4 linked regions of the Caenorhabditis elegans genome follow. The protein of the gene in region 1 purifies or fractionates together with the protein of each later gene. This does not show direct contact. Each region holds a gene or a part of one and is shown on either strand. Other genes may lie near its edges.

Region 1 (4,683 bases):
TCAGAGCTCATGAAATGAAAGAGGTTTATGTTTTTCATCTATACCTTTCATCTATGGTAGTATAATCATTTGAAAATTGCGAATCGTTCAATTTCGCATGTTAAATATTTTTTGTTTCCAGAAAGGACATACTTTTGAGTTTGACAACCGTCTTCTGACAGTCTTCTCAGCGCCTTATTATTCTGGACACAATTCCAATTTGGGATCAGTTGCTACAATCAGTAAAAGTTTGAAATTGCGAATCGTGACTCTGAAACCTAATAAGGGATATGATCGCTCTAAATTGGACAAGAGAACTCTTCACGATTTCGAAAAAAACTTTCAGCCACTTGATGAGAATCCTAGAAAAAACAGTGAGTTCTCCTATTATTTATTGCAAAAATCTATAAAAACAACATACTTATCCGATTGTTTTAATATTCAATTTTTTACAGTAAGTTGCCAATTCAATGTTCCACCAAACGGGCAGAAAATGTCACCATTTCTTGGAGAATACTCGATGTTTGCCCATGAAACACAGTTTTGTAAGAAAGACAATGAGACACCTGTGAAGAAGCCTTATAGGTGAGATTAAAGCTTCAGTACCTCTGGAAAATGTGACCGTCTAATTATTCGGAAACATGACTTCACAATCATGTTATAGGAGCATTTTCAATATGTGTAATTTCCAGCTCAAACCAAGATGAAGATCATTCTGTATTGGACATGATTCGCAAGACACAGAAAGGATATGGAGTAGAAGTTAGTTTGAAGTAAGTATCATTTACTATATATAAAGCGCTTATTCTGTGTGTCCATAGTTTGTAGTCTATGTAGCCTTTGTAGTCTGTGAAGTTTTGGCTTCTGGAGGGATAGTGAGTTAGGGTTAGTGTAGGGATATAGTTGGGGTACTGTAGTGGTACAATAGTGGTACGGTAGGAATACTGTAGGGTTACGGTAGTTTCATAAAAAATTAATTTTCAGCCCCAGAAGTCGGGGGCCGCGCCGAAGGTGCGGTCCACGGCTGGTTTTTTATATGCGAAGAAGTTTTTTCATGTTTACAATATTTCCAGAGATAAAGTCATGTCTCTTGAATCAATCCGCAAAAAATTGGGAATGACTACTAGTACGACGCCGCCTCCGCCAAGAACTCCATCTCCGGACGCTCCACTCGCCCAATCTCCGCCAATTCCACGATCGCCTCCGAGTTCTACTGAAAATGCGTAGATTTCCTTTGAATGAAGTATACTGTAGAAAATGTTCAAGTTTGAGTGTGTATAATTATGAAACGAGAGTAACATGAAACACTTTTATGAAATGAGGTTGAAGACTCAAATCAAAAATACAAGTTTTCAAATTTAGGACAGAAACAATTCCAGAACGTAAAAAACAATACCTAGAAGTCAATAAATGGAACAACAATGAAAAACAGTAAAAATACGCTGCAAATTGGGCAGAGTTCCCAATAGTAATTATTAAACATTTTCCTTGATAGCATCATAATTATCAGAAATTATGAATTTTGTGAAGCGACCGGCACGAACTGGGCAGCGATGACACGGACGTTGGGCGGAAGAACTCGTGGGAAATTGATGATAGTCGTCTCCTCGAAGTGGAATTCTCCATCGCGCATCACAGTTCTGCGTGTCTCGATTGACAAAGTCTCCGTAGAAATTTCTGTAATAATGAACATTATACAATTATAGAATTTTGATAATCTCACGTTTGGCTCCTTCTCTGCTCTGTAGAGTGTTGATTGGAGCAACTGGTGGCACTTCTTTCATCAATTTTTCAGCTGGCCCTTTTCCAGTGATAGTCATCACGTATGGCGACGGAGCTACCGGCTCGACATTGCTGAGCTTCAAAGCATTGTCCAACTGCTCTGAGAATTTGTCAATTTCGGGCGACATCATTGGTGCTGTGAAACCACTTCTCACGCTGCCAACACTTCTTGGGGTGAGACTGTTGATGCTGTAGCCGTACCCTCCATAATAAGACTCACGGGCCTTTTGATTGTCCAACTTGCTTTGATACAGTCCACCTGAAAACATAAAAATTGTTACGTTTTCCTAGTATTCAAACAATAACCTCCATGCAAAGCCTTCATATTAGAAGAGTATCTTGATGCGTCTTCTTGGAGTAAATCTTTCGTCTCAAATGGTTCCACTTCGATATCTTTTCCATCTCCGTGTTCATCCGTTTCTCCAACCTTCTTCGGGCACATTCTCGAAATGTGTCCATGCTCTTGACAATGGAAGCAGTGGCCTGGCCCACCTCGCCCACGTCTACCGGTTCGGCGGCCAGAGCGTGGTCTCTTCGATGAAGATCCCATACCATCGGATCGGGGCGAACTTCGGAAAGATCCACGCCGTGGACTACCCATTATATTCTCAGATGGCAGAGGTGTCACGCAACGTTCATTATTCATGTAAAGAGCATCCGAAACAGCAACACGAGATGATCTGCTTTCTCGATAACTGCTGTACCCTCCTCGTACGGAACCAAATCCAGAACTGTCGTTTAGGTGAGAGGAGTTTCTGGGGATTCTACCGCCAAGTCCACTAACGGATCCAAAATCAGAGAAGCCTTCACCTCCTCCAAATCCTCCTCGATACTTTCTCGGTTGATCAGTTAGCGCTCCGAATGCTCCACTATTTTGAGTTTTTGGCCATGGAGAGTATTGAGCTCTCTCAAGATAATGTTGTCTGTCCTGAAATGAATAGTTTACAAATTGTCATTAATTTGATAAAAAATACCGTTCTCGCCGACATTCCGTTTTCCATTGACTTCATTTCACTCGACAATTCCGACATATCCGACCGAAATGTCTAAAAAAATTATTTTGAGAAACTGGCAGAACGCTGAATATTTAAAAATTAATCTAAAAACCATTAATTCATCAGAAATGGGTGAGAGAAATGAAGAAAATTGAAGAAACGTGCCGAACGAGTTCAGAATTTCGTGTCGGGACCAAAACCTACAGTAACCAAGTCAGTATTTAAAAACGCGTTATTAAGAGGCACTACAAAACGGGGATCTGCGGAAAAATGTTATTCCAATTTCTCTTTCAAGCGAATCCGATAATTTAAATATTATTCGTATTTATTCATTAAATTAAAAGAGAAGGCGTATAAAACACAATTGGCAGCTTGCCGAACAGCGGAGCTGATTACTGTGTTGGAAAAAACAGAAAAATTTAATTAATTGACATACTAATGATAAAAGGGAAGAGTGTGGACAAAGTTGAAATGTGGAAATTCGAAACTTGCCTAAAATTAATTTAGGAGCCTCTATAAGAGGAAAAATAATTGAGTAAAATGATAGTGAATTATCAGAGATCTCATTGGATGTTGCATTGAGATAGATGTTGTATTTTATATGATAAAAAACGAAATGTACATCAAAAGAAAAAAATGCAAGACGTTGTTAATCAAGATCGATGACTTCTTGAACCTGCTGCGGATCATGGTTGAAATTTTTGCTTAGATACATATCACGAAGCTGACGGGCATCTATAAATTTTAAAAAATTATACGAAATTTTTTCTAGTAAACTAACGATTCTCAAAAACACTTCCGACAGCGTCAAGAATTGTTCCATCACGTAGTTTCACATAATATCCATTTTTCGGAACAACTAACTGTATTGGTGTATTTGCCTGAACCTGATGAAGCTGATCTCTATGTCCGACAATGGGAAAAACGAGTTCTAAAAATTTGAATTTTCAAAAAAACTTAAACGTCAAACTCACGTCTATCAGTAATCAATTGTTGAACTGCTCCAGCCGGGGAAAATGATGGTATTTTGCTCATAACAGCTCCCGGAAAAGCTGATGGATCTCTTGGAGGAAGCATTTGTTGAGGGTTTCCTATAGCTCCTCCATTGTTATTATTCGGATAGCCATTGTTGAATGACGTCATCGTATGACCACCTCCTTGGTGATGGAATTGACTGACATTCATTCGAAGCGTGTGAGGCATTGGTGATGGACGAATTGATGGAATTTGAGGTGATGGTCCATGAGGTGGAAATTGTGACATGTTTGGCATCGGTTGTGGAAATTGCTGTGGTGGATAAGATCCAAAATTGGGTGCAAGCTGATTAGGAGATTGTTGCCAATGATTATTGAAACTATTTTGCATGTTATTATTGAACATCGGAACTGGTGGTGGACCCATCATTCCCATTGAGCTTCCAGGAGCATTGTTATAAAAGTTAGAACTGCTCAGGCCACTCAATGGATCATAGTTCTCCATACGTCGTTCTCTATCAAAAAGTAATTGAGCTTCTCGTTTTTCCTGCTCGCTGAGTGATTGCTCTGACTCCATTATCAAGGTTTCATGAAGGAACGGTTTCCCGGCAAACATTTGACTCATTCTCTTAGTGATTGAGTCTAGAACCGGATCTCCGAAATCCCAATCATCTGTATTCCATTTGTCATGATTAACATCTTGTGCCTCATCATACATTAGAAGAGTCTCCAATTCTTTTTGCGAAATATTTGCATCAACTTGTGCATCGTCAACTACTCTTTGTTGTAGTCCATGTTTTGAAATTTGTCGATTGAAAATCGATCGCTCCATTGAGTTATCCATAATAAGACGATAAACAAATGTTTTCTTCTGTTGACCATATCGATAGACACGACATACAGCTTGAGCATCGTGACAAGGATTCCAACAAGCGTCAATGATAATGCATCTG
Region 2 (6,300 bases), 2.7 Mb from region 1:
TCGACACTCTTCATTCAATAATTCTCTCAAAAATTTGAAAATGTCAACTTTCATATTATCTGCAACATTATTACTCATCTGTTGATATAATAAACTTTCAAAAAACTTACTTTCATCATCTAAAAACCATTCACGGACATTAATCAAATGCCCTAAAATAAGGGTATCAAGATGTTGCTCTCTGAGCATTCGAAATGTCTTGAAATCTAACAAAGTATAAGTGAAATCAATTTTGGATATTTGAAATTTCAGACGTATTTGTTCTGTTGCTCTATGTGTCCAACTCGTCTCGTTTCTTGTTCGATCCTTTGATAAAATATAACTGGAGCTCCGCATTTTTCTGAGATGGCAGTAAATGACATTACTCGATTTTGCATCAAGAATATAATTCATTTTATTGTACTTTCCTGAAATTTGTATAGTTTATTGAAGAATTAAAATAAAATAAAACATACCACGTTCAATATAGTCAGCAACTTTATAGGCAGTCAACTCCAACAAAGAGCTCACCATTTTTCTGGATAGAAATTTGGCAGACTGACTGTATAACTGACTATAGGGTTCTGCAACGCCTAATGAGAACAACGGAGAGTCATTACACACTATCGACAGGTGTGAACGCTCAAAATTACTTTATTGGCTCTCATCTATTGTCTCTCATGGGAGGGCGGTTGACACCTGGAAATGTAATTTTCGGTCATTAGACTTTTTGTGGTAATAAGGTTTTTAAATCTCGTTAAAGGTGGTGTAGTCGAATTTGAGACTGTGCTTAAAAACATTCTCTATGCTCGTACAAGTCGATATGTGAAAGCGAAACATCACAAAAATTTCGCTAAATGAAGTTATGAGCCTTCAAAGTGCCGAAAAAAATCTCGCCGTCCATCTAATTTGAATTTCGCGCGCAAATGAGCGCCACCTCGTGTGTACTCCTCTCAGACAATCAAATAATTAATTTCCTGATTTTCGGCAATTTTAGGCGATTTTTCGTACTTTAATGAGCCTATCCTCGTTTTTTATTGGAAATTAACGTTTAAAGATACAATAAATCGTATTTGGTAAAATATTTAACGTAAAACAGTACAAAAAATGGAGTAATAACTGGATAATTCAACAAAATGTGAATTTTGAATGTGAACACGCATAAAATAATTAGAACTGATGATCAAAGTTTTGCCACTTCAGGGAAAGATCAGATAAGTTGAGAAAGCAGGCGACACGAGTTTTGGAGAATTTGGGCAGGCAAACAACAAGGCAATTTGATCCATCAATTGGAATATGACGGAACTCGGCGTGAGGTTGATTTCCACAAATGATCACATGCGGTGTGATGTCCATGATCAGAGGATCTCTGAAAAATAATTGTTTTGAAACATTCTCTGTATAGGTAATAAATGTTCTCTATCAATAGAAAAGTACTGTACTAAATCAATTTTTTAAAACTTAAAACTAGGGACCTTAGGGTGTTCGTTTTTCGATTTTTTTTTTAGAAAATCGAAAAACAAAAATTTTTCGATTTTTGGAAAGTCGAAAAATTTCTTTTATCGATTTTTGATTTTCACTGAAAAACATCGAAAAATCGAAAAAATGTCACCCTTGACTAGAGTTGGACATTTTTCTGGTTTTTTAATGTTATTTAAAGGAAAAATTGATTTTATTTGGCTTCTTTTTTGACACCAAAATACCCGAAAAAAATTTATATACTTACAGCAAACCTTATTTTTAGTGGTTTTTGATTAATTTTTCAAAAAGTATTTAGGTCTTAGGCTCCAAAAAAATTATATTTCGAAATAAATCCAATATCAACATATTTTTTAGTTTTTTTGGTTCGAAATATTTTTCGAAATTATTCTGTGCTCCAAAAAATGCACCAAACAAACCTTTCAGCCACTGGGAATGCATCAAGAGTATCTGGACAATTTGGTGCCACATGTTGCCATTTAATGATATTCTCAATAGCATCAGCTCCCGTCCATTTCAGGGAAGTACGAAGAAGCTCGCTCACGTTTTCGCCAGACATTGTCATCACACGTAGTCCATTGACTTCAAATTCATATGGATTTGTCACAAGATTCACTTTTTTATCACTCATTCCACAACGTGGAAGACAAACTCTGTGAATAGGTGGCAGTGGCCACATCGATGAGCATGGATCACCAACACCAGGAGTCACGTCGACAGTGTTAACAAGAGGTTTTTCAGCAATTGAATTAATAATTTTGTCTACAGTAATTAGTGATGCTGTTGAAGAATGTTTCTCTGCACGTGAAAGAGTAAGTGTTCGAACGACTGACTGAACATCACAACCATTTGATTTTGTTTCAACCAGTGGACCAATAACTACAAGACGATCAATCGGTGGACATTGATTCTCATTTCCAACTTGAACATTCATCCAATCAGCCATAAATTCAAGACCAGAGATTGTGAGTCGCTGAAATCATGATTTTGTAGTTTCGAGAAAACCATGGAAATATGAATCTTCTGAATGGAACTTATTCCATTTGAAAGAGCATCTTCTAAGAAGACCCCTATAAAAAATTTAGCGGCGGATGAGCACTTTGAACTGGAAAAGGTCGCTCTGAAAATTTTTCAATGCATTTTTTTTCACAACTTTCGAGGTCCGTAAAATGGCTACAAATGTGAATTTTTGTAGATTTTTGATGATTTCTAAGATGTTCACGGCCGGTAAACATTCAGATTTTGTTTTTGGGAATGTTTAAAAATTTTTGAAAAAAATCTGAAATTTCGCAATGGACATGGATTCAAAAAATCGAAAAAATTCCAAAACAAATTTTGAATGTTTGCCTGCCCCTGAAAATCTTAGAAATCATCAAAAATCTACAAAAATTCACATTTGGAGCCATTCACAGACCTCGAAAGTTGTGGAAAAATGCACTGAACATTTTTCAGGGAGACTTTTTTCCAGATCAAAGTGGTCCTCTGCTGCTAAATTTTTGTAGGGGCCTATTTAAAAGATGCTCTTTCAAATGGCATAGATTTCATTCAGAAGTCCGGGATTAAGTGGAAATACTTAGATTAAAATATCCGAGAAAAGGTGTAATTTGGTTGTTTTTCGATTTAAATTAGACAAAAAAACAGAAAACAAAAGATTATGCGCCTTTAAAGATTACTGTAGTTCCGAACTTCTGTAGATTTTCTTCGATTTTTCATCCGTTTCTTTGAAATTTATTGAAAAACATGTGAAAATGTTTTTCAAATTTTGACGAATTAATGAAAAATCTGCAACAACGAGGAGTTGGGAACTACAGTACTCTTTAAAGGCGCACTCTTTTGTATTAACAAAAATCGGTCGCTTCGAGATCGTGTACCGTAGTTTTGGAGCACAATTTTAAAGTTGGAATAGTATTCAAGTTACAGAATTAATACTCACATCGTCTTCCAAATCTCCAGTTAGATCGAGTCCACTGACGAAAGCGATAGTCCCGTCGACAGCCACTTTCTTTGGAACTTTTACAGATGGCCAAACCAAACGATTCACATGAAATACTCCTTCTTTTCCTAATTTTCCAAGAACTCCAACACAACAACCAGTTGCACACTCATCCATTGAAATATTTCCTTCCAGACGTACTGTCTGTTTATCTGATTCCAATTCGATTCGATCTTCAATGCTTCCAGCGTATCTTTTCACTTCGTCTTCTTCGGCATCTTCTTCATAATCATCATAAGCCACTTTATCCTCGTTGAGCAACGATTTCAAAATTGATGGTCTTGCAGCTATTCTCTTTACAATAACGCCGACCACGAAGATTTCCTCGTCTTGTTTAGCATCGCTCAATTGTGAATGCGTGAATTTTCCCTTGCCTGAAGATAAAAATTAAGGTTTATTAGTAATATTATAATTCTAACCAATTTCACGTTCTGCATTTTCCAAAATACGAGGTTTCAGTTCCTTCAAGCGAGCTTCGTAGACTTCAAAGTACTGTCTAGTGAACGCACCTGAAAGAAAATAACTTTTTAAAGCTTAGAGCAAAATATAAATACCTTTTTTATCTTTTTCAGTGAGAATGTATCGATCTGAGACATTCTTATAGTTTAGGATGTTGGACCAAGCGGTTTCCATTCTTAAAATAAAGAAAAAAATCAATTCAAGAAGGCAAATTTGTCAATGTTGAAATTTCGCGGCAAATTGCGTTAGAGCGCGTTAACATTACACCGAAGTGAATTTCAAAAATATAATATTCACAAAGTCAACATATTCGATTCTCAAATGTTTAATCAAAAACATTTTATTTTCATAAGACACCATCAAATTAAACACATTCGATCCCATTTCAAATCACAATAAATTATATGGACGGGGTAATAGGGGATATTTTACAAAAAAAGGAACAATAAATAGAAATCTCTAAAAGTCGCGAGAGCAACTGGAAAAGAATAAATTAGGAATCTGGGAAAAAGCAGATAAAACAAATTCTATTTTTGCACTGATAAGGTGCTAGGAAAGCTAATATCTTAATTTTTACAAACCATGCTCCATAATATTAAAAGAAAATAGTACGGCGAGAGGGAAGGAAATGAATGTGTACAAAGAAACCGGTACAAAATATTAATTCTTCCAACATTTCTAATCACAAGATTTGCTTTGGCGTGATCAAAATAATATGAAGGAAGAACAAAGGGAACAATCAAGAGAAGCAATTCTATCACAGTATCAACGACTTAGGAAATGAGATCGCGGATTTTGCGATGGATATCCACAAGGTAATCAACGTATGACATATTAGCAGGACCAGCCTTGTCTTCCACTAAAAATTTCTTCATCCATGGCTCAAGGCCGCTTTTTTCCACGACAACGAACGTTTTTCGCTCTCGGATCCCACGTGGCAAAAGTTGAATTGCACGACGAAGAGCACGTGAATGACCATTGTCTTTTTCCGGAATTGTTCCCTGAAAAATGTAATTGACTAATTGAACGTAGCAATTGATAACTTACACTCTCGGTATCAATTTGATTTGTAGCACCAACACCAAACACGTCTTGAACCCATGTCTGGGGGCATGCAGAGCCAACCCAGACAAACAGAATAACACCGTTATCAATAATATAGGCTTTCGAATTTTCCAGGAACTCAGAACTCGCTCTAACAGGTTTTGGAAGATCCTTCATTTCTTCAGTATCATTGATTTGTAGATCAGAGATTGGCATAACTCTTGGATAAATAAGAGGCATGACATTTTCAGTTCGTAGCCCACGGATCAATTCCATCTGCCACACTTTGTCGTCGACTGTCATTTCACTTCCTCCACTGATCGCATCATTTTTCAAAATAGAGTTCACATAGAGCGGCATCAATTTCAGAGATTCAGGAAGAATCAGTTGTCCAAGTGGGGCACCTTCACTACACTTCTCTCGATAGGTCGCTAGGAATTGTGCACAACGAGAAGAAAGTGATTCTCTCATTTCTGAGCTTCCCTTGTCACGATTCAATTGAACAGCTTGCTTCAACATGAATGCTGTCAATGCTTCCGGATCAGCAAGTCGGTAAACTTGGTTGTAATCAGCAGTAACTGGAAGGCATAAGTTCAAAATTCGCAAACGGCGCTGTCCAGTCATCGACGTATACAGTACAGCGGTTTGAATGAAGGAAGCTGGATCTTTCAGACTATCATCATGTTTGATTTCTGTGATGAATGCTTTGCTTTCATCCAATGTAGCCAATTCCAAATCCGTTGAGTTTTCCATGTAAAAGGAGCCAGTAAAAGTGATAGGACGAATTCCTGTAGACGTTCTTACTCTTGCCATGCAGTCGAATGCAATTTTCTTAGAAACGTGTCGTTCCAACTCATTCAACATGCGAACACCGTCTTTATCGGCCTGAAATAAAAATAAAATTAATAAAATTATTGGTTTTTCTTTAAATTTACCGAGAAATACTGAAATTTGAAAATAGATCCTCCCGTAACTGCAGAAAGCTGACCAATTGTGGCAACATCAATGAAAGCATTTGGGAAGAGGAATAAATCGACAGTAACTCCTGACTTGACACATTGCTCTCCCAACTTCGTGTATGAATCTTCTTGTGGAACCAGTGCATTCTTTTCTTTATCTGTCCCGAGAAGAGATCGATCATTTTTGGATTTCAGCTTTCCCGGTGCATCATATGTTGGTAGAACAGTTGAAAACAGAATCACTTTTCCTGCTCTGTCGGCACACTTCAAAGCGTCAAGACCGGCTTGTACGACGGGTTGAAGAATGGTTTCGGTGGTTTTCGACTGCGAAAAGAGTTTAGGAATTTCAGCCAATGCGGCACGAAGTCCAGGAAGTGCCTCGTTGTA
Region 3 (4,782 bases), on another chromosome or scaffold:
AAATCATTCCATCTAATTGCACACAAGTTTTATTGAACAATTCAAGAGTTTAGGCCTTGTAGCTACGTCCTGGACATGGACAGTATCCAGCGTCTGGTCCTGGTTCTCCTGGGCCTCCGTGCTGAAATAAATTACAATGAAATTTGAAATATGAAATATCATAAACAAACCTCTCCGCATGTTCCACTCTTTCCTGGAATTCCTGGTCTTCCTGGAACTCCTGGATGTCCAACTGGTCCTTGATTTCCATCTTCTCCAGCTCCTCCTGGATTTCCTTCTGGTCCTGGTGGTCCACGGGGTCCTGGTGGTCCGGCTCTTCCGGCTTGTCCTGGACGATACTCAGTTCCTGGCTCTCCGCGTGGTCCTGGTGGCCCTGGACGTCCAGCTGCCCCTGGTCGACCGGCGTCTCCCTGCTCTCCTGGTCCTCCTTGTCCTCCTGTTGGTCCTGGTGGTCCGTGTCTTCCTTGATCTCCAGCTGGTCCTGCTGGTCCGACAAGTCCTGATGGTCCTCGTGGTCCTGGACGTCCTGGTGGGCACTTAATACATCCTCCTAGAAATTACTCAATTTAAAAACAAGTCTATAACACAGTAAAGATACCTGGAATATCGTGAGTAATTGCAACAATAACTCCTGGTGCACCAGGCTTTCCATCATCTCCATCATGTCCTGGCTCTCCACTTTGTCCACCCTCTCCAGGTGGCCCTGGTGGTCCTGCTGGGCATCCCTCAGACTTTGGTCCACAGTTACATTGTTCTGGATAAGCTTGACGGGCCTTACGTGTTCCGAAAAGAGTCTCGAATGTTGGTGGATGAGATTCGATTGTTTCTTCGTCGACGCCACCTGGATAAGTGTGTTTTGTGACGATCCTTTGCCAGGTGTCTTTAGTAATGGCGCGGAATTCAAACATCTCGTCATCGAAATCAGATTGAAGTTGTTTGATGTCAGTAAGAAGACCCATCATGGTGTAAAGTGCCACGAAGACACATACAAGCATGGAGGCGGACCCCGCCCAGATGAGTGTATTACTCATTCTGAAAATTGATGCGATGTGTCTCAAAATCATGCGGAATTAAAAATAAGTTATTTTCTTGAATCACCGTGGCGGGACCCACTTTAAAATTTCAGTGGGTCTCGTAACGCTCAAACCGATTTTAGCGGACTTCTCAAAATAATAGAATAAAACAGATGAAGACGAGTTATACAAATTATATATTTCTAGATAAATCAACAAATAAATAAAACTAAAAACCAAAAATTAACTTTCTTTGCGTGTATCCAATGGTTTAAGTAGTCATCCTTATCAGATCGTCACGTCCTGAACCACTCAATAATTTTCAATTTTCCGTTTACTTCTCCGAATGGTTCCGCCTGTTTTCCGATCACTTTTCGACGACGTCAAACCAGTTAGCATTTCTCTGAAACTCTCCAGTAACCAGTATCTTTGTCTGTTGCTATCGAACATCAAATTGTGTGGCAATCGTTTTTTTTTCTGGAAATACTTCTCTCGCCTATCTGTTACCCTCTTTCAGGTATCAGGGGCGGAAAAGAAAGTGAAAGTTTGCAGAAATTCAGTAAATGAGGGTTCTATATTAGTTTTAAGGGAATTTGAGAGTAATTGGAACTTCAGTTTGCAGTCTTCAATCTTTAAGAGCTACCGTAACCCTATTTCAGTGAAGAGTCTACTGATACCGTTGCGGGCCCATTAAATACTTAATCCAAAAATTAATTAATACTTTGTCGACGCTCCTTTGATTAGACGATGTATTTTTGCTATTCAACTTCCCTGATTGAGAATGCTATCGATTAGAGAGCCAAATGGCAGTAATCCCCGAGAGATTGTCTGTCATCACTGCTGCGTTTAGAGACACAGGTGAGCAGAACAGTACGATACTCCGCTATTCCGAAACGCGCGTTGTTCACCGTAAATCGACATTAATTTGGCTGGAATTGTTTTAAAATTAGAAATTGTTTTATTGTTGTTTTATTCTTTAATTTTCACCTCTCGTTATTATTTCATTAAATTATAGTTTTACATCGTTCGTTTTGAAGCGAGATTATATTTTTAATGGAATAAACCTAAAATGTTGTTTATAAATAATTCTTATGAAATTCAAAGAATTGTCATTTTTTGAACAATAGTGCGAATTATTATTAATTAAACAACAAAATTTATACTTTAAACGTTCCAATTTTTTCCTTGTAATAAAAAATAAAATGCGACACTAAATAAGTATTAGGAACTGTAAACATGCTTTACAATGTATAATCTATTTTGTTTACACCACAAGGAAAATTAAATATTCAACACTTTTAAGCAAAGATGGTCAGCGTGGATCCATTGGCAACGGAGCGTTGGAGGAGCATCAGAAGATTAACAGATCGCGACTCTGCATATAAAGTTCCATGGTTTGTTCCCGGACCGGAAAACTTTGAAGCACTGCAAAACACGAAGATTCTTGTTATTGGTGCTGGTGGATTGGGTTGTGAGTTGTTAAAGAACTTGGTTAGTTAGAATTCAAAAAAAACATTAAAAATAATGCATTTTCAGGCTTTGAGCGGATTCCGAACAATTGAAGTTATCGATATGGACACAATTGATGTATCAAACCTAAATCGTCAATTCTTATTTAGGTATTAAAAAATTATTATTAAATTCGTTCTGTCAAAAAAAAACTTTCAGGGAATCTGACGTTGGAAAATCAAAAGCTGAGGTAGCTGCTGCTTTCGTTCAACAAAGAGTTGTTGGATGTCAGGTGACTGCGTAAGTGTTGTGGTTTGATAGTCTTTCCAAACAAATTCAGAATTATTTTAATTTTATTTCAATTTTCAGGCACAACTGTAGAATTGAAGACAAGGGTCAAGAATTTTATCGAAAATTCTCTATAATTATCTGTGGACTTGATTCGATTCCAGCCAGAAGATGGATCAACGGAATGCTGGTAAAATTCTTTCTAGCTCAAAATATAAATTAATTTATCGAATTGCAGTGTGATTTGGTTTTGGAAATGGCCGACGGAAAACCTGATGAGAACACAATTATTCCAATGATTGACGGAGGAACTGAAGGATTTAAAGGAAATGCTCGTGTCATATATCCGAAATTCACAGCCTGTATTGATTGTACTCTTGATCTTTATCCACCTCAAGTCAATTTTCCATTGTGCACAATTGCTCACACTCCTCGACTTCCAGAACATTGTATTGAATACATTAAAGTAGTTGTTTGGCCAGAGGAAAAACCATTTGAAGGTAAAAATTTACAGAAAAATCGGTGAAACGAACTTTAATTTTAGTGTTATTTTTAAAGTTTTTTCTGGAAAAAAGTTATATTTCCAGGTGTTTCTCTTGACGCTGACGATCCGATCCACGTTGAATGGGTTCTCGAAAGAGCAAGTCTTCGTGCAGAAAAATACAATATTCGAGGTGTGGATCGTCGTTTGACATCTGGAGTTCTAAAAAGAATTATTCCGGCTGTTGCATCAACAAATGCAGTTATCGCTGCATCATGTGCCCTAGAAGCTCTGAAATTGGCCACAAAGTATGTAAGATCACATATTAAAACTCTCAATATTCAATTTCAGCATTGCCAAACCAATCGATAATTATCTTAATTTCACTCAAATTCACGGAGCATATACCAGTGTTGTTTCAATGATGAAAGATGACAATTGTCTCACTTGTAGTGGTGGGCGTCTTCCATTCGAAGTTTCACCATCTTCAACTCTTGAATCGCTTATCATCAGACTCTCGGAGCGTTTGTACGTTCTCCGTTTGTTTTAGAAAACAAATTTCAAATTTCAGCCATCTCAAACATCCGACACTAGCGACCTCAACTCGAAAACTTTACTGTATTAGCAGTTTCATGCCACAATTTGAACAAGAAAGCAAAGAAAATCTGCATACTTCGATGAAAGATCTTGTTAGCGATGGCGAAGAAATACTGGTATCCGACGAAGCATTGTCTCGTGCACTTACACTACGAATTCAGCTCATCTAATGCATTTCTTCTATTTCACTTTTGAATGTCTCGGGTAAAGTATGCCTGTGTTCCATGTCAATAAAAATAAAATCGTTTTTAAACTCAAAATATTTACCTAAAGAAAATAGAAAGGAAAAGTGAACTGATGAAAATACAACGAGCAATTGAAATGGAACGAGAAGAGGGACCCTGTGAATGACAATTAAAGTATGAAAAATGTGGCAATAATACAGAAAAAATAGAGACGGAGAATGACTAGATCTATAGATAAGACAACCGATGTGAGCTTTCAGAAATCATTAAGACGTGCGAGAAGATCGTCTGTTGATGGCACCACTGTGCCTGATGATGATGATGTAGCCGTGTTTGATGATGCAGGACCAGATGAAGTTGACGAGGAACCCGTCGGATCGTTTTCTTTGTGCGTTGGTGAGATTTGCGATGTTCCATTGATATTCTGAAAGTTAAATTTCGAAAAGTTTCCACATATAAAATATGTTACCGTAACTGGAACAGCTGGTTGCCCTTTCCTTCTCACTCGAACTTTGAGCTCATTCTGACCAATCGGCAATCCAACTCCAAATGCTTTAGCCCTATCAAGCGCCGTTGTTGGTTTTACTGATGATGGAAGTTCCATATTTTGTCGTTGCAGATCATTTTGAGGAACGTTGCGTGATCGAGCAAACTGTCCGGAAAGAACCGGTTCCGATGCGCAGCCAGTGAGATCTTGAAGCTGACCCAAAGCATTCTGATGTCGTGATCTTTGCCGATCAAGTCCTCCTCCAAGTCTTCCACCTCCGCG
Region 4 (7,757 bases), 7.7 Mb from region 1:
ATCTGACGACAAATTGCAGAAAAAAGTCGAAATTTCTGCAAGTTGTCGTCGAATCCGGTGTTTCTTAGATTACTGTAGCCGTATATATGTGCAGTACACAGAATCTTACGACAAATTGCAGAAATGTAAAAATTTCTTGAATTTTCGGTAAGAATTGAGTTCAAAAACGTGAAAAAGTAAAGAAAATGGCTTTTTTTTTAAAGGTAAATTTCACCGAAAATTCGAATTTTCTGCGAATTGTCGTCAAATCTGGTGTTTCTTGGATTACTGTAGCGTCAGATGTGTGCAAAACACTGTATTTTACGACAAATTGCACAAAACTTGAATTTTCAGTAAAAATTGAGTTCAAAAACGTGAAAAAATCTAGAAAATTGCTTCTTTTTTTTTTGTTGATAATTTGACCGAATATTCAGATTTTTCTGCAAATTGTCGTCAAATCTGGTGTTTTTTGGATTACTGTAGCGTCAAATTTGTGCAAACACCTTTTACTTGAATTTTAGGTGGAAATTGAGATCAAATTGCATGTTTTAGGAGATTTTCAATAAAAATTTAAATTTTCTGCAGTTTGTCGTAAGATCTGGTGCACTGCAAACTTTTGGTGCTACAGTAACCTAGTCCACACTAAATCCTACGAAAAACTGCGGAGTTACGACAAAAAATATAGAAAATTTCATTTTTTTTTAAAGGTAAATTTCACCGAAAATTCGAATTTTTTGCAAATTGCTGTCAGTTTCAGTGTATTTGCGCAAGATTTTCATCCAATTTTCATTGAAAAATGCGATTTTCGCCCTGAAAAATCTCAAAATTTTTTAATTTTTTAATTTCCAGAACCGCTTCAACGCCCACATCGATGTCCCATGCTTCACCCTTTGGATGAACGGAAAAATGTGCGAAAAACTTGAAAATTCGCATGGATTATCGATTTTTCGGCCGCTCGGCACAGTGCTCGACGTCAACGAACTGAAAATCAAGATTACTGAACATTCGTCACGTTTTGTCGCAATTTTGCCGGTTTTTAATTTGAATTCCGACTGGAAAAATTGTTTTTTTCCCCTGGAAAATCAATAATTATCGATTTTTTTCTGTTGAATTCGTATTTTCTATAATTTGCCGTCGTTTTCACTCGATTTCCCACTGATTCATAATAATTTTCTTTAAAAACCCACTGAAAAATCGATTTTTCCGCTAGGGAATTAATTATTATTGATTTTTTTTTGATAGAAAATCGATTTTTATCGATTTTTCGCTAATATTTAAAAATCAATTTATCCTAATTTCTCACTGAAACCCCCCCCCCCCCTATTGCTATCATGAATTCATGATAGTTTTCTTTAAAACCCACTGAAAATCGATTTTCCGCTAGAAATTTATCGATTTTTCGCAAATTTTTCATCACTTTTTCCCGATCTCGTTGTTTTTATCCCGATTTCATGTCAAAAAAATCAATTCCGATTACAATTCCATGACCAATTCTAAATTACAGAAAAATCGATTTTTTACGAAATTTATCGATTTTTCGCTATTTTTTCATCACTTTTTCCCGATCTCGTTGTTTTTTTTTTGAATTATTGCTAAAAATCACTTCCGATTACAATTCCATGACCAATTCCGCCCAAACTATCGATTTTTTGCTTGAAAATCGATAATTTTTCAACCGATCTCTTGTTTTCTTTTTAATTATCATTAAAAATCACTTCCTCTCACAATTCCACCACCATTTCCGCCAACAAAATCCACAAAATTATCGATTTTTCCGCCGGAAAATCGATAATTCCTGTTTTTTTTGTATTTTCCCCTATTTTCTTAATTAAATTGCTTGTAGAATTGCCTAGTATCCTAGAATTCTAATAGTAACCGCTAATATTATTGATTTTTCCAAAAAAACCCTGAAATTATCGACTTTTACCTAAAAATTGTCGTTTTTCTTCTGTTTTTATTGTGTTTTTTCGCCGAAAATTGTCGCATATTGTTAATAGAATCTCATTTTCTGCCCAACATGGCGCAATTCTTTTAATTTACCCTGACTAATGTGCTTTTTCTCACTTTCTACACCATTTTTGTGAACTTTTATCGATTTTTTTTTCTCGTGATTTTCCCCCATATATCATTGACCTACTTCACACATATGCAACTTCTGAACACTGGAATAAATTTATTAATGTTTCATTACTAAAATCTTTTGAAATTGCGAATTAAATTGATTTAAATCGGGGTTTTGCCGCACTTTCTGCGATATATTGCAATTTTTCGGTTTGAACTCCCGCGCATTTGAATTAACGACACTCCGATATCCCGCCAGCGCGTGTTGTTTATCGCGTTTTGTTTTTTGAATAAAATTGTTTATTTTTGAGCCAAAATCTTTGATTTCAACGGTTTTTTCGTGATTTTTTGTTAGAATAACTGAAAATTTAGAGATTTCAAGCAAAAAACTATGCCAGAACCAACGGAATTGTCTGGAATCATCTCAAAACTTGAGGAAACCTACGCATTCGCCACCACCAGTCTTGGAAACGTATTTATACCGATTGCAGCGGCCAGAACCAAGAACGAGACGCTTTTAAGCTTGCTCGACAAGTTTTCGTGAGTTTTTTTTGCTGGAAAAGTTACATAAATCAATTAAAAATCAAAGTTTTGGGTGAAAATTCAAGTTTTTTCGAACTTTTCCCGGAAAAAATCGATAAAGTGTTTCAGATACAACGAAACTGTGCAAATGGTGGTTATTAAACAGATAGGACGCAAAAATAACTGCAATTATCAGGCAAAACTCGTGAAAAAGCTCGAAGGCTCAATGTTGGCGGCCGCCAGAATTTCCAATGAAGTTTTCGGGCCATTGGTGGGTTTTTAGGGTTAAAAACTTGGTTTTAAGTGAAAAAATAGTCAGAAAATTGAATTTTCCATAGTTTTAAAGCTAAAAAATCTCGAAAATCCCGTATTTCCAGATCGCCCAGGTGACCAGCACCACGGATAGCTACGCGTTTGCTCAAAACGACGAAAAAGGCACAATTTTCGTGCCGGGAGACGCTTTTGACGCGAAAATCGTGAAAAATGTGGGCCGATACGTGAATACCAGCAATCAACTGGTGCTAAAAATCAAGGAGCAAATCGAACGAAAAGGGTGTAAATGGGTCGCTGTTGAGGCTGTAAAACACTTTGTTGTCGAGGAAAATGAGGAGAAAGAGGTGGAAAATCGAGAAAAATCGATAAATTTTGATCTAGAGCTCGGAAAACTGCTGAAAAAGTGAATTTAGAGCAGAAAATTGGAGTTTTGAGCCGCCGAATGTCCAATGTTCAAGTAAAAAAATGTGAATTTAGAGCTAAAAAATTTAAAAAATGGCAAATTTCGACTAAAAATATAACTTTTCTCCCGAAAAAACGAATTTTTATGACAAAGTTGAGCCATTTTGGTATTTTTGCCCAAATTTCAGCTAACAACTTAAAAATGATCTAAAATATCCAAATTTTTGTATAAAAACCTAAAAGTTCTCCAAAAAGTTCAATTTTTTGCCCAAATTTCCGCTAAAACCTGGAAAATACTCTAAAATACCCAAATTTTTGTATAAGAACCTAAAAATTGCGAAAAAATATCCAAAAAAAAAAAAAGACTTTTTGTCCAATTTTCTGTTCAAAACACGGAAAAACTATCCAAATTGCACTAATTATACAAAAATCTGTTTTTTTTGGCCAAAAAAAATTTTTTTTCGGCTAAAAACTCGGAAAATTAATTAAAAATGCCCAAATTTTTGCCTAAAAACCGAAACATTGCAAAAAATTCACAAAAAACTCAATTTTCGCCCAATTTTCGAGCTGAAAACACGAAAAATGCTCAAATTTTTCCCCCAAAATATGCCGAAAATCAATAAAAATTTCAATTTTTTTCAGGCGGTAGCAACTGGAGAAGTAAAAATTTCGTGGGGAGTCGTTGTGGAAGTTGATGAAATGGAAGCACATGTATTAGATGAAAAGAATGGAATACTTGTTACGTTAGTAATGTTAAAAACTAAAAAAAATCTTAAAAATCTTAATTTTATAACTTTCTGTAAAAAAAACGAAAAAAAAAAATCGAATTTTTAGATAAAAACTCTGTAAAATCGAGAAAAATTGACTGTTTCGGGCTTATTTTCAGACAGAAATTAGAAATATAAAAGCTAATTTCACAGAAACATAAACTTTCACTAAAAATTGGCTTTTTACAAAATTTCTTCAGTGAAAATCTGGAAATTTTACCAGAAAAATTCCGGAAAAATGTCAAAATGTTGACCATAAATCGAAATTTGTACAAATTTTCGGAGAAAATTGCATTTGATCATCAAATTTCATCAGTTTTTACATTTTTTTCAGTGAATATCATACAATTTCACCAAAATATTGGAAAAAAATCGGGAAATTCACATTTTCTATGTGGAAAATATAAGAAACCAGCCGTGGACCGCACCTACGGCGCGGCCCCCGACTTTTTGAGAAAACACATTAGATATACGGTGTCTATCGCGGACCTCGATCGATGTCTGCTGCGCACTTAGCATAAGGTTTCCCAAAATTTCGTTGCTCTGATCAGAGATCAAACTACATAAGGACAGAAGGACACGCGCTTTATATATAGTAAATGATATAGGAAAAATCCTGGAATTTTCCAGATTTTTCTGTGAAATTCTAGAATATTTTTGGTTGAAAATGTCAAAAATCCAGAAAATTTTCAGAAAATTTCCCTGTATATTGTCTGTGACTTGTGTGTTTCTCTATCCGAATTGATGGTTTGAATAGTGGTATTCTCGGCTGAAATATGCAATAAATACCGTATTCCAACCAACAATTTGTGCAATAGAGCACATTTGTCACTGGAGATGCAGAAGCTATGCCCAAATTTTCATTTAGCGCGGAAATTTGGCTGTTTTCGGGTGTAAAGTAGAAAATTTGGAAATTTCGACATTAAAATTTATTATAAAATTTGAAAAAAAATCCATAAAAATCCCTTTTTTCTGACAATTTTCTGTTAAAAATTGGTAGTTTTTTGGGTTTTTTTAAATCCCAGTTTCCGAGGAAAGCTATAAATTTGGGTACGGTAACTCGGAATTTATGATGTTTTTTTTTAAAGCTGTAAAAACTGAAAAATTCTGCTCAATTTCCAATTTTTGTTGAAAACCTAGTGGTTTCTTGGATTGTTCTAATTTTTTATCAAAATCCTGCTGAAAATTAGAATTTTTAGCTTTTCCGCTTGTTTTTCGGAATTTTTTGTGGCTTTTTCCAGGTAAAAAATCCGTTTTTTACGGAAAAAACGGCAAATTTTTGAATTTTTCGATGTTTTTCCCATGAAAATCGGAAAATTTGTATTTTTTGTTTATTTTTAAAGGAAATTCGAATTTTTTTTCGTGGCGAGACCCAACCTTTTCAGACTTTGCGCAAAGTAGGTCAAAATTATACGGCAACTTGGCAACTGAATTTCCCAATACTGTCTGTGACTTGTGTGTTTCTCTATCCGAATTGATGGTTTGAATAGTGGTATTCTCGGCTGAAATATGCAATAAATACCGTATTCCAACCAACAATTCGGTGCAATAGAGCACATTTGTCACCGGGGATGCGGAAGCTATGCCCAAATTTTCATTTTTCAGGAAAAACACCTTTTAAAAGCCAAAATTGGGCCAAATTTCATAAATTTTTGGCCAAAAAACTTAAAATTTTCACCAAAAATCGCCTTTTTTTTTGCAGATGCCCAATTCTAAAATACACTGGCGGAGCAGATGATAGTCCTTCGGCTCGAGCACTAAATGACGTCATATCAATCGATAATCACGTTATGTTCAAAGCTATGCTAATCAATGGAAGATATGACGCTGTTGAATGGAAAAAAATTGCCGATTCTCATGAACTTGTGATGCCGAAAAAAGTGAACACGTCGGATTCGTATGCACAGACTCCTGCGTGTCTTGTGGTACGGGGTTTTGAGTGGAAATTTGGGATTTTCCGCTAAAAATGAGCTGAGAAAATCGGAAATTTTAACCCTAAATTGCCTGGAAATTCGGAATTTTGCGTTAAAAAAAGTGAAAAAAAAACATTCAATTTTAGATCCAAAAAGTTTATTTTGGAAGCTCCCACTTTGGCTGAAATTTTGATATTTCTGGTTAAATTTTACCGGTTTTATGCAGAATTTTTTATAATTTTCCACTTTAATTGGCATTTTAGAGCCTTAATTTTTACTAAAAATGCGCTAAAAATTTGATATTTTACTAACTTTTGTTAGAAATGTGAATATTTTATTAAAAAGGTTGATTTTTATGTAAATTAAATTATTTTGTCAACAAAAATTAGATAAAAATTCGGAAAACCCATTTTCCATACCGTTTTCAGATATTTCTGGCCTCCTTTGCAAAAAAATGAAAAATTGGAAATTTTCAGGAATTAAAAAAAATTCAAAATTTTTCAAATATCTAAACAAATTAGGATACTTTGACCGATTTTGCTACGCTTAGAAAAAGTTTTAGTCCATTTTCTAAATTTAAATCAATTTTCTGACGACATTTTTCAAAAAATTTGAAAAATTTCACACATTTTGACTAGTTTTTTTTCCAAAAATGTAAATTTTTTTTAAACTTTAAAAAAGTTTTTTAAATTAAAAAGCTGTAAAAACCGAAAAATTCTACCTAATTTCCAATTTTTTGTTGAAAACCTAGGATTAGCTTGGATTTTGCTAATTTTTCTCAAAATTGTGTTGAAAATCTGAATTTCTAAGCTTATCCGTTTTTTTTTCTAACATTTTCGGCGTTTTTCATCCCAGTTACCGAGGAATGCTATAAATTTTGAGTACGGCAACTCGGCAACTGAACTGAATTTCCCTGTATATTGTCTGTGACTTGTGTGTTTCTCTATCCGAATTGATGGTTTGAATAGTGGTATTCTCGGCTGAAACATGCAATAAATACCGTATTCCAACCAACAATTTGTGCAATAGAGCACATTTGTCACTGGAGATGCGGAAGCTATGCCCAAATTTTCAATTTTTCACGTGAAAACTTTGTCAAAATCACTAAATTTTCGCCTAAAAACCTGAAATATTCAGACAATCATGTTCCGAAAACTGCTCCAAAATCATCCAGAAGATATGGATCGATACTCATCAATATTGGATCAATTGCCACCGTCAGCACTTCCAGATTGCTATTTTTCCCGTGAAAATTGCACGGAATAATGGGATTTTTTTTTTGGTTTTTTTTTCGGTTTTATTCTCGAAAACGTGTTTGTCAATACTAATTATTGGGTTTTTTTTTCACAATTTTGCACTTATTTTCCGCACAAAATCGGTTAAAATTCCGGCTTTTTTTTACCTATTTTCACCCATTTTTTACCCCAAAAAACCGGAAAATCCATAGAAAATGTGCGATCGAGACGATTGTGCAAGTATCGCGAGCCGCTGCACCGGAGAAACTATCATTTGTGCATTTGTGGAATCAATCACACCGCCCAAGATTCGAGATAAGACGGGTAGGTTTTTTTTTTGCGGAAAAACTGCAAAATCCACTTAATTATCGATTTTTGGTGCGGAAAACGCCGAAAAATTGTCATTTTTGGGTTACTGTAGCCCCAAACATCACACCAATGCATCGGATCTTACGACAAAATGCAGAAAAAATTCGATTATTACGTAGAACCGCGTTTTTCCGCATTTTGTCGTAAAATCCGGTGCATTGATGCGGTTTTTGCACGGATTTAGGGATACGGTAACCACAAATTCGATTTTTCATTAAAAAATGACATAGTGCTAA

What was found.
Region 2: the proteins of egc-2 (region 1) and pold-2 fractionate together in Caenorhabditis elegans (co-fractionation; one large-scale study listed by BioGRID). This does not show direct contact.
Region 3: the proteins of egc-2 (region 1) and rfl-1 fractionate together in Caenorhabditis elegans (co-fractionation; one large-scale study listed by BioGRID). This does not show direct contact.
Region 4: the proteins of egc-2 (region 1) and Y104H12D.2 fractionate together in Caenorhabditis elegans (co-fractionation; one large-scale study listed by BioGRID). This does not show direct contact.

What each region holds. Positions count from the first base shown.
Region 1 is NC_003282.8:8,899,770-8,904,452, reverse strand, and holds egc-2 (CCHC-type domain-containing protein), read right to left. Parts: upstream 2,808-4,683; 5' UTR 2,793-2,807; coding exon 2,736-2,792; intron 2,690-2,735; coding exon 2,068-2,689; intron 2,021-2,067; coding exon 1,703-2,020; intron 1,657-1,702; coding exon 1,493-1,656; 3' UTR 1,276-1,492; downstream 1-1,275. Other genes in the region: Putative serine/threonine-protein phosphatase C27B7.6, read left to right, coding at 1-23, 122-353, 435-564, 672-752, 1,053-1,206; rad-54.L2 (Helicase ARIP4), read right to left, coding at 3,406-3,491, 3,538-3,687, 3,731-4,683.
Region 2 is NC_003282.8:11,557,749-11,564,048, forward strand, and holds pold-2 (putative DNA polymerase delta small subunit), read right to left. Parts: upstream 4,086-6,300; 5' UTR 4,085-4,085; coding exon 4,006-4,084; intron 3,961-4,005; coding exon 3,871-3,960; intron 3,826-3,870; coding exon 3,392-3,825; intron 2,432-3,391; coding exon 1,878-2,431; intron 1,349-1,877; coding exon 1,150-1,348; 3' UTR 989-1,149; downstream 1-988. Other genes in the region: sec-24.1 (Protein transport protein Sec24C), read right to left, coding at 4,684-4,911, 4,958-5,839, 5,890-6,300. UniProt on the Caenorhabditis elegans protein: The function of the small subunit is not yet clear.
Region 3 is NC_003281.10:7,019,569-7,024,350, forward strand, and holds rfl-1 (NEDD8-activating enzyme E1 catalytic subunit), read left to right. Parts: upstream 1-2,316; 5' UTR 2,317-2,321; coding exon 2,322-2,504; intron 2,505-2,549; coding exon 2,550-2,632; intron 2,633-2,681; coding exon 2,682-2,762; intron 2,763-2,831; coding exon 2,832-2,940; intron 2,941-2,988; coding exon 2,989-3,250; intron 3,251-3,337; coding exon 3,338-3,539; intron 3,540-3,582; coding exon 3,583-3,759; intron 3,760-3,802; coding exon 3,803-3,998; 3' UTR 3,999-4,084; downstream 4,085-4,782. Other genes in the region: col-8 (Cuticle collagen 8), read right to left, coding at 50-121, 171-550, 599-1,031; cyk-1 (WAPL domain-containing protein), read right to left, coding at 4,270-4,437, 4,483-4,782. UniProt on the Caenorhabditis elegans protein: Catalytic subunit of the dimeric rfl-1 (uba-3)-ula-1 E1 enzyme.
Region 4 is NC_003282.8:1,175,608-1,183,364, forward strand, and holds Y104H12D.2 (DUF7930 domain-containing protein), read left to right. Parts: upstream 1-2,414; 5' UTR 2,415-2,431; coding exon 2,432-2,580; intron 2,581-2,691; coding exon 2,692-2,833; intron 2,834-2,939; coding exon 2,940-3,179; intron 3,180-3,879; coding exon 3,880-3,980; intron 3,981-5,706; coding exon 5,707-5,929; intron 5,930-6,984; exon of another isoform or gene 6,985-7,054; coding exon 7,055-7,183; 3' UTR 7,184-7,257; downstream 7,258-7,757. Other genes in the region: cec-2 (Chromo domain-containing protein), read left to right, coding at 829-1,068; rmif-2 (RecQ-mediated genome instability protein 2 homolog), read left to right, coding at 7,368-7,476.